2 linked regions of the Cricetulus griseus genome follow. The protein of the gene in region 1 interacts with the protein of each later gene in a pairwise test. Links are inferred from orthologs where the notes say so. Each region holds a gene or a part of one and is shown in the gene's direction. Other genes may lie near its edges.

Region 1 (3,645 bases):
TTACAATCCCTTGGCATAATTCAGATGCCAGTGTATGAAACACAGTGACTGTCCTAGACCCTGTGGACATGACTGTGGCGGCCACGAATTTCCTTACCCGGCTTTGGCTTAGACCTTTGCACTTACTGCAGTAGCAGCAGCAGCTATTATGTGGCAAGAGCAAGCAGGTTGCAGGGCAGTGTTTGATCTCTGTTCCTCCTGGGCATTTTAATTGACATGAGGTGTTGCCAAAGACCTGTGTACAGAGGACTGTGAGAGCAGGTGTTCCCTCTGCTTCCCTTTCTGCCTCATCTCATTGTAACTCTCTTACTTTTCTTTGGGCTTTAATACCTGCACTGATTCAGGGCTCTGTAGCAGACAGGCCCTTCTGAGGGCATCTCTTGGCTCTAAGAATGATGATTCCCACATAACTATGTTGTTTTGTGTTAGAGAATGGAATGCCCAGGAGAGACATACATAGATCAGCCATTTAAAGACTGCAGCAGCAGCTGGTCTGAACTTGCAGGTTGGGTCTGATTCCTGAGGGAGGGGGGTTGCTGTTGCAGGCTTGAGAGTTGTAGATGGGGTGCTCCTCTGTTGTGGGAGGGATAGTGATAAGGACAAGGAAGATGAGACAAGTAGACATGGAGTCTGAGGCAATGCTCTATCTAGAATACGGTGTCAGAGCACACCAGACAGCAAACACTTGGTACCCTTGTTGGTGGAGACAGAAACCAGGCTTGGGGGAGCAGCTGTCGAGGAACCAGTAGCTGGCTTGTGCGGTTGCACCCTCCAGTATCCTTGGGTGGGCCTGACCTACTAACTGGAGGCCCCGTAGGGAGGTGTGGACTGGATTGCACTGGAGCCCAGGAAGCTAATCCCTCTGGTAAGGGCTTGGCAGTAGGTTGTGTTCCTAAGAAGCAGATCCCAAGGGACCTGGTGGGGAGCATCCTCACCTCAGCATGATCTCAATACACTTTCCCTTCTTTTCCAGAGTCAACTATGAGCTACCCAGGCTACCCCCCACCTGCTGGTGGCTACCCTCCAGCTGCTCCAGGTAAGAGGACCTATGGTGGATCCTCTGCACCCACTGGGACCGGAACTGAGAGGCCTGGCTTTGGCTGGTTCTGGGAGGGCCTTATTAGCTGACATATGGACAAAGGCCTGGTACACTCCTTTGCAGAGTAGCTTCAAGGTTCTTACACTTCCCTGGCTGTACCCACTACTAACAAGATAGGCAGTGACAGCCTGTAGGGGTGTTCTCCAAAGTGCTGCTTCTAGCCACCTACCCTGTTTCAAGGAGTATGATTTTGAATTCTCTCCCAGTGAGGCCTATGCCAAGGGTCGATTCAATGTCCCTCCCTGGCTGCCCCTCCCTGTGGCTTCCAAGAGCCTTGGTGATAAAATGAGACCACCCACATGGCCAGAAGCAGCACAGCTTATCTTCCTTCTGAAGCAGTCCCTTCTCCAGCAGAAACTCTGCCACCTGTGATAGCATGCTCCAGGTATTACAAAGCCCAGAGGCTACAGAGCAGACTTGGACTGCCCTGGGTGAGAATGCTTCTGGCAGGCACTGGCCATGTTGCTGACTCAGCCCCACACAGATATCCACTCCTCAGCCTTTACCTCACCAGTCTGAGATCCTACTTGTCATCATCTCTAGCTGTCTGCAAACATGAATGAGAGTGGTTGAGTCTTGCCTCAGGACACACAGCCAACCAGCTCCTTGCTACTGTCTTTTATGGTGTCCATGTCCTCTGGCATGGCCCCATTTCCCTCCATCTGAGAATTCTTAGCATTCATGGAACTCACTGCTGTCACATGCTCAGGGTGTATCTTTCTCTCATCCTGTGATGCTGGGTTTTAGAGGACAAAGCATGCCCGGATCCCCACAGAGGGCCCAGCCTGCCTTCTTCCCTGGAGTAAGGGAAAGCTCCTCTCCTTCCCCTGACCTTGCTCCATCTTTCTGGGTATTCATAACATTGCCTTGAAGCCCTGCTGTTATGAAGCCTTCCTTTCTGCCCTTTCTTGGGCTAGGGATGCAAGCTGATGAGCTTGGTGTTGCTTTCAGGTGGTGGTCCCTGGGGAGGTGCTGGCTACCCTCCTCCCAGCATGCCCCCAATCGGGCTGGATAATGTGGCCAACTATGCAGGGCAGTTCAACCAGGACTACCTCTCAGGCATGGTGAGTCAGGCCCCTGCCAAGGTGCCCTGGGCTAGTGGCCGCAGAGCTCTAGGGATCAAGGCTACTGACCTCTAGGCTCCAGAGATACCTCATGCTTGTCTCTGTGAGCATGGAGTGCTGAGCAGCAACTTAGACTATGAGGGTCATCTTACCACCCCTCTCCAGGCACCACTTTCCCCATCTATATGTGGGGAAGAGATTCTTGGAGCAATGGTCTTCTCAGATCATCGAGGCCCTGGGAGGTTGGGTAAGGCTGGTACCTGCAGGAAAATTTATTGAGAATGTTTGATAAGCTGAGCACAAATCCTGGAGGGAAGGGAGGGTATGTGTGGAGAGGTACACATACAGATGCTGTTCCAGTTGGTACTTGGTGGCCATGTAGCAGTCAGGTTAGGTAGGTTAGGCTGTTTTTATTTGTTGTTTTGCTTTTAGAAGAGTGTGTCTTATAATCAGAAAACAAATGTGCCCTTAGTAGAAACAGTGCAACTGGTAGACATCCAAATTTATGCTTGGCCCATTCCTGGGCCCTGGGAATATGTGAATACAGCAAACAAAATCTCTGGGCTGGGGAGATAGTCCAGGTGGTAAAGTGCTTACTATATCAGCCTCAGACCCAGAGTTCAAATCCCAGGACCCATGCGGGGGGAAAAGCCAGGTGTGGCCCTTGTAATCCCAGTGCCAGGGAGGTGGAGAAAGGCAGATCCATTGAACTTAATGACTAGTCAGTGATCCCAGGGCCAGTAATAGATGCTGTCTCAAACAAGGTAGACAGCATGTGACCTTTGCCTCCACGTGCACCTGTACACATAGAAATCTCAGCCCAGATACACTTAGCATCTATGGAGAGGAGACAGAAAATAAGTTACCAGATGCAATATTGAAAAGTGACAGGTGTTTCTGGGCATTGTGGCATACACTTAGGATTCAGTAAGTGAATTCATGAGGACTGAAAATTCCAGCCCAGCCTGGGAAACATAGAGAGAACCTGTCTCAAAACAGTAGAGTCAAAGAAAGGGCAGAGAGTGGGGGAGAGGGAGAGAAGAGAGTAAGGAAGATAAGAGAAGTAGATACATGACCCGGGTGGCATAGGCATATGATCTTAACTTAGTGGAAGGCCGAAGTAGGAGGATCCCAAGTTCATGGCCCATTTGAGTTACAGGGTGAGTTCATGGCCAGCCTGGGCAACTTAGAGAGTCATTGTCTCAAAATAAGAAGTAAAAGGAGAGATGGGGATATGAGGTCAGTGGTAGCGTGCTTGCCTGTAATGTATGAGACCTTAGGTCCGATCCCTTTCACAGGGTGGAGGGGGTAGAGTGGATAATAGCAATATGGTTAAATGGTTAGAAGTGCTGTGTGGCAATGTAGACCAAAGGCCTTACGGTGGGAAATGAAAAGGGGCCTTGAACAAAGATCTGACATAGTAGAGAAATGTGCTATGTGAATATCCAGGGACAGCCAGTTCTTGAGGTAGCCATGGGCCTG
Region 2 (4,376 bases), on another chromosome or scaffold:
CAATATGCAGACACATGATATTAACATTACAGTAGGGAGGACAGTGTTATCTCATTTATTTCTCAACTCCTGGAAAGCTTAGAACAGGCCTGGTTAGGAGGAAACTGAACCTGAGATAGGGTAAGAAGATAGATGATGGTGCCTAGAAGACAGCTGTCTGTAAGCTGTTGGAGAAGGTGATCTCCTTGGGACTGGACCTTTACAACATTCCAAGCTGGAGACTTGTTAGTAAACAACAAGTAAAGTCCCAGGTTCTGTAGGTAGGGGCCTCCAGTCTGCAGAAGTAACAGCTTCTAGCTGAAGTTTGTACTAGAAAATTCCAAGATCAAGTAGCAAAATTATGGTTGTCAATACTTTATTTCTGGAAAAGAGAAAAGGAGCCAGAGATAGGACAGATTAAAAATGGATTTCAGAATCTAAATAAAACAAGTGAGATTGGAACAGTTTATGAGAAATTTAAAAAAAATGAATTCACTAAATCATGGAAGAAAATCCACCTTAAAGAACTTAGTAGATTTTGAGGTAAATCCCAAAACTATGAGATAGTTTCTTTGAAGAATCTGAAAATCTCATGGACAAGAACAAGAAAAATGGGACAGAAAAGGATACAGTTGGGAGGTAATCAGATCTAGAGCTGTGCTAAATAATGGATGGTTGTCCACATGGAAGAACGGTTCAGATGTACGAGGCCAATCTTTTCAGCCTTAGCAAGTAAACTAAAAACCCACAAAGATAGCAGTTATGATGATAAGTCAATCTTCACTGGATGAGGAATAGGAAAGCTGGAATAACCCTATGGCAGACCTGGAAAAACTGTAGTATCTTAAACTGTACACAGCACACAGATCTGTGACAGCATGTTAATGTGAACATGACAGGTTGATAGTTGTCCCAGTGCTGTGCATTCCCCCAATTCAGGGGCATTCCACTATAAAAACATCATAGAATTAGTATCCAGAATGAAGGAAGGCATATAGGAGTTAGCACCAAAAGTGTTTATCTAAGTACAGAAGTCCAAGTAGCAGTCACAGACAAATGAAGCTCTCACCTCAAGACCAAACCTTACAGGGGCCATTCACAAATGAAGTCACTGTGTAAACCCAGGGAGGCTGAGGTTCAACCGATATAAGCAAGTGGGAAGACGGGAGGGTGAAATACGGACAGATGGACAGACTCCAGGGTACATAAAATGTCACTTTGAGTTTCCGCCGAGAACTTCACGAGGTTGGTGCACATCACATTTGCACCAATACTTATCTATGCAGGCATAACGGGAGGTCATCAACTCAAGTGAAATTTTCACCACTTCCCACCCCAGCCAGGTCTAGGCAGTTGTGTAACCTTGAGTTGGCGCTGGGAGGTCTGCTCCCTTTGGAACTCATCCTGCACCTGGGCTGGGAAAGAGGGCGGGGCAGGAGCCGACGCCTCTAGCTTGAATAGGAGGCCCCGCCCAGATTAGTTGCACCGCCCTCCAGACGTTGCATGGCAACTGACCACGCCTGCCAAGTGACTCAAAGGCACGCGCTTCCGTTGTTCCCAGGAAGTTGTGGGCTCCTGGTCTTGCCCCGGACGGAGGCGGAAGCACCGCGTTTGGAGCTGGTTCGCTTTACCGGTGTGCATCAGCCCATGGCGGCCTACTCCTACCGCCCAGGCCCGGGCGCCGGCCCCGGCCCTTCTGCTGGAGCTGCGCTGCCAGACCAGAGCTTCCTGTGGAACGTCTTCCAGCGGTGAGGCCGGCGCTGCCCGGCTGCCCCGGCCCTTGGGCGGGCCCTCGGTTTCCAGGGCCTACTCGCCGGTTCTCTCCTGCCTTCTTTCCCTCTGACCTCCCTCGTAACCCTTCCTACTACCCTGTATCCCCGGCTTCCTCTCGTCGACAGTGGCACAAGGCTCAGAGTCGTGTTGGCACTTGGTTTTGCTCAGGGCTGGGGGGCGCGGAGCAGCCGCCCCACAGGGTCTGGTGTGCTTGCTTTAGGAACGGGGAAAAAATCTTGAGTAAGGAAAACAGCATCAGAAAAAAAAAAAAAAAAAAGAACTGGTTACTACTGCAGCTTCTTTTGTCCCTGGCCGTCCTTCTGAATTGCCTGACTGTCACTCCACTGATTCGTAGCCAAGGAATGACTGACTTATTTGACTTAGAGAATCCTTACCTAATATGAAAAATGTGAACTGGTGCAGGTGTAGATTTAGACGGACTTGAAGAACTAAGGAAAAGTGTTCCTTAACCTCTGGCACACCTGGGGGCATGTGACATACCAGCTGAGCTGAGAGAAAGGTCTGGCTAGAGTAACGTTCCAGACCTAATGTAGATTTGATAGAAATGATGTTTTAGCCACTTTTATTTTTCATCACCAACTTACTCGGTCTTTTTTATTTTGTAGGGTTGATAAAGACAGGAGTGGAGTGATTTCAGACAATGAGCTTCAGCAAGCATTATCCAATGGTGAGTTGAAGCCTGATCCATTCACAGTAAGCAGTTTCTCTCCTGGAATTTCCAAGGAGGTCCTGCCAGTACCAGTATAAGGAAAAGGTGTTTCTAAGCTGCCGTGTCCACATTTTCTTGATCATCATTATTGTTGCCTCACCAAGCTCCAAAACAAATGTATATGAGCCTCAGAAAATGCTTTCTGAGAAATGGGAGCTACAGAATAGGCCTCAGGGGAGAGGCTAGTCCCTTAGTCATCTAGAAGGCCTTTGACCTACTTGGGTAAATCAATCTTAGCAACCCCTCTGAGGAGGATTTTCAGGGACACTGAAACATTGTCTGGTGACATTAGGAAGTAATTGTTTAGTTGTTGAACGGTTTCAAGATGGTCATTAAGTACTTTTGTGGAAATAGGTTTGTTGGAAGCTAAAACTCTGGGGCCAATTTAGGAACTAGACATATGGCAAGTGCTGTCAGCAGGATCATAGAGAAGTTTCCTCACTATAAATGTGAGGAAACTGTCCCAGCAGAATCAAGAAGATTGTGGCCTTTGTATGGAGCTCTCCATGGAGTCATGTTTTTGCTGGTGTCAGTATTATTAATCTTTAGTTGTAACCATTACAGATGGATTTTTTTTATATATATAAAAAATTATCACCAGGCAGTCAGTGGTCGCACACACCTTTAATCCCAGAACTCAGGAGGCAGATGCAGGCAGATCTCTGAGTTCGAGACCAGCCTGATCTACAGGAGCTAGTTCCAGGACAGCCTCCAAAGCCACAGAGAAACCCTCTCTCAAAAAACAAAAACAATTGTTTAATCCTGGCAGTGGTGGCGCACACCTTTAATCCCAGTACACGGGAGGCAGAGGCAAGCGATCTCTGTGGCTTCAAGGCCAGCCTGGTCTGCAGAGCGAGTATTAGGACAGCTACGGCTACACAGAGAAACCCGTCTTGGAAAAAAAAATAATTTTAAGATGTATTTATTTGTGTGAATGTTTTAGCTGCTTGTATGTATGTGAATCAAGTGTATGTATGTCTGCTGCCCACAGAGGATAGAAGAGGGCATCTGATCCACTGAAACTGGAGTTACAGATGGTTGTGAGCTATCATGTAGTTGCTGAGAATCAAACCTGGGTCTTCTGCAATGGCAGCAAGTGCTCTAAACCTCTGAACTCTTTCTCCAGCCCCAAGATCTCTCTCTCTTCCCTACCCTTCCCCTCCCCCTCCCTCTCTCTTCCCCTCTCCATCTCTTTCTCCCCTTCTCCCTCCTTCCCTCCCTCCCTTTCTCTTTCTTTGGCAGTCTTGTGTGTTCTAGGCTAGTCTGGAACTTCTATGTAGCCAAGGATGACTTTGAACTTGCATATCCTCTTGTCTGTAACTCCTGAATACTGAGTGCTGATTTATTCCATACTGAAAATAGAACCTAGAACTAAATGCACAGTGGGCAAGCACCTTACCAGACAAAGTATATCCATAATCCTAGAGACGTTTTTCTTATTAAATGTCATTAGTAATTCTTAAGGTGTGGCTGTCTTTTCTTTTTTTTCTTTTTTTTTCCGTTTTTTTGTTTTTGTTTTTCGAGACAGGGTTTCTCTGTGTAGCTTTGGCACTCGCTCTAGAGACCAGGCTGGCCTCGAACTCACAGAGATCTGCCTGCCTCTGCCTCTGCCTCCCAAGAGCTGGGATTAAAGGCATTCGCCACCAACGCCTGGCATGATGAAAATTTTAAAAAGCTTATTTTTGTTATAAAAGGAATCATTTTCCAGGCTGCAGAGATGGCTCAGTGGTTAAGAGCACAGACTGCTCTTCAGGAGGACGTGGGTTCAATTCCCAGCACCCACATGGCAGCTCATAACTGTCTAACTCCAGTTCCAGGGGATCCCACACCCATGGCAAAGCACCAATGCACATAAAATTACAAATAGATAGATAGATAGATAGATAGATAGATA

What was found. The genes of interacting proteins can lie anywhere in the genome.
Region 2: the proteins of Anxa11 (region 1) and Pdcd6 interact in binary tests that used the Homo sapiens proteins (3 or more experiments, as listed by UniProt). The link is inferred for Cricetulus griseus from reciprocal best matches to the Homo sapiens genes ANXA11 and PDCD6.

What each region holds. Positions count from the first base shown.
Region 1 is NW_023276807.1:193,951,115-193,954,759, reverse strand, and holds part of Anxa11 (annexin A11), read left to right. Parts: intron 1-973; 5' UTR 974-981; coding exon 982-1,036; intron 1,037-2,050; coding exon 2,051-2,163; intron 2,164-3,645. UniProt on the Homo sapiens protein: Binds specifically to calcyclin in a calcium-dependent manner. Required for midbody formation and completion of the terminal phase of cytokinesis.
Region 2 is NC_048595.1:368,964,761-368,969,136, reverse strand, and holds the start of Pdcd6 (programmed cell death protein 6), read left to right. Parts: upstream 1-1,542; 5' UTR 1,543-1,626; coding exon 1,627-1,727; intron 1,728-2,378; coding exon 2,379-2,440; intron 2,441-4,376. UniProt on the Homo sapiens protein: Calcium sensor that plays a key role in processes such as endoplasmic reticulum (ER)-Golgi vesicular transport, endosomal biogenesis or membrane repair.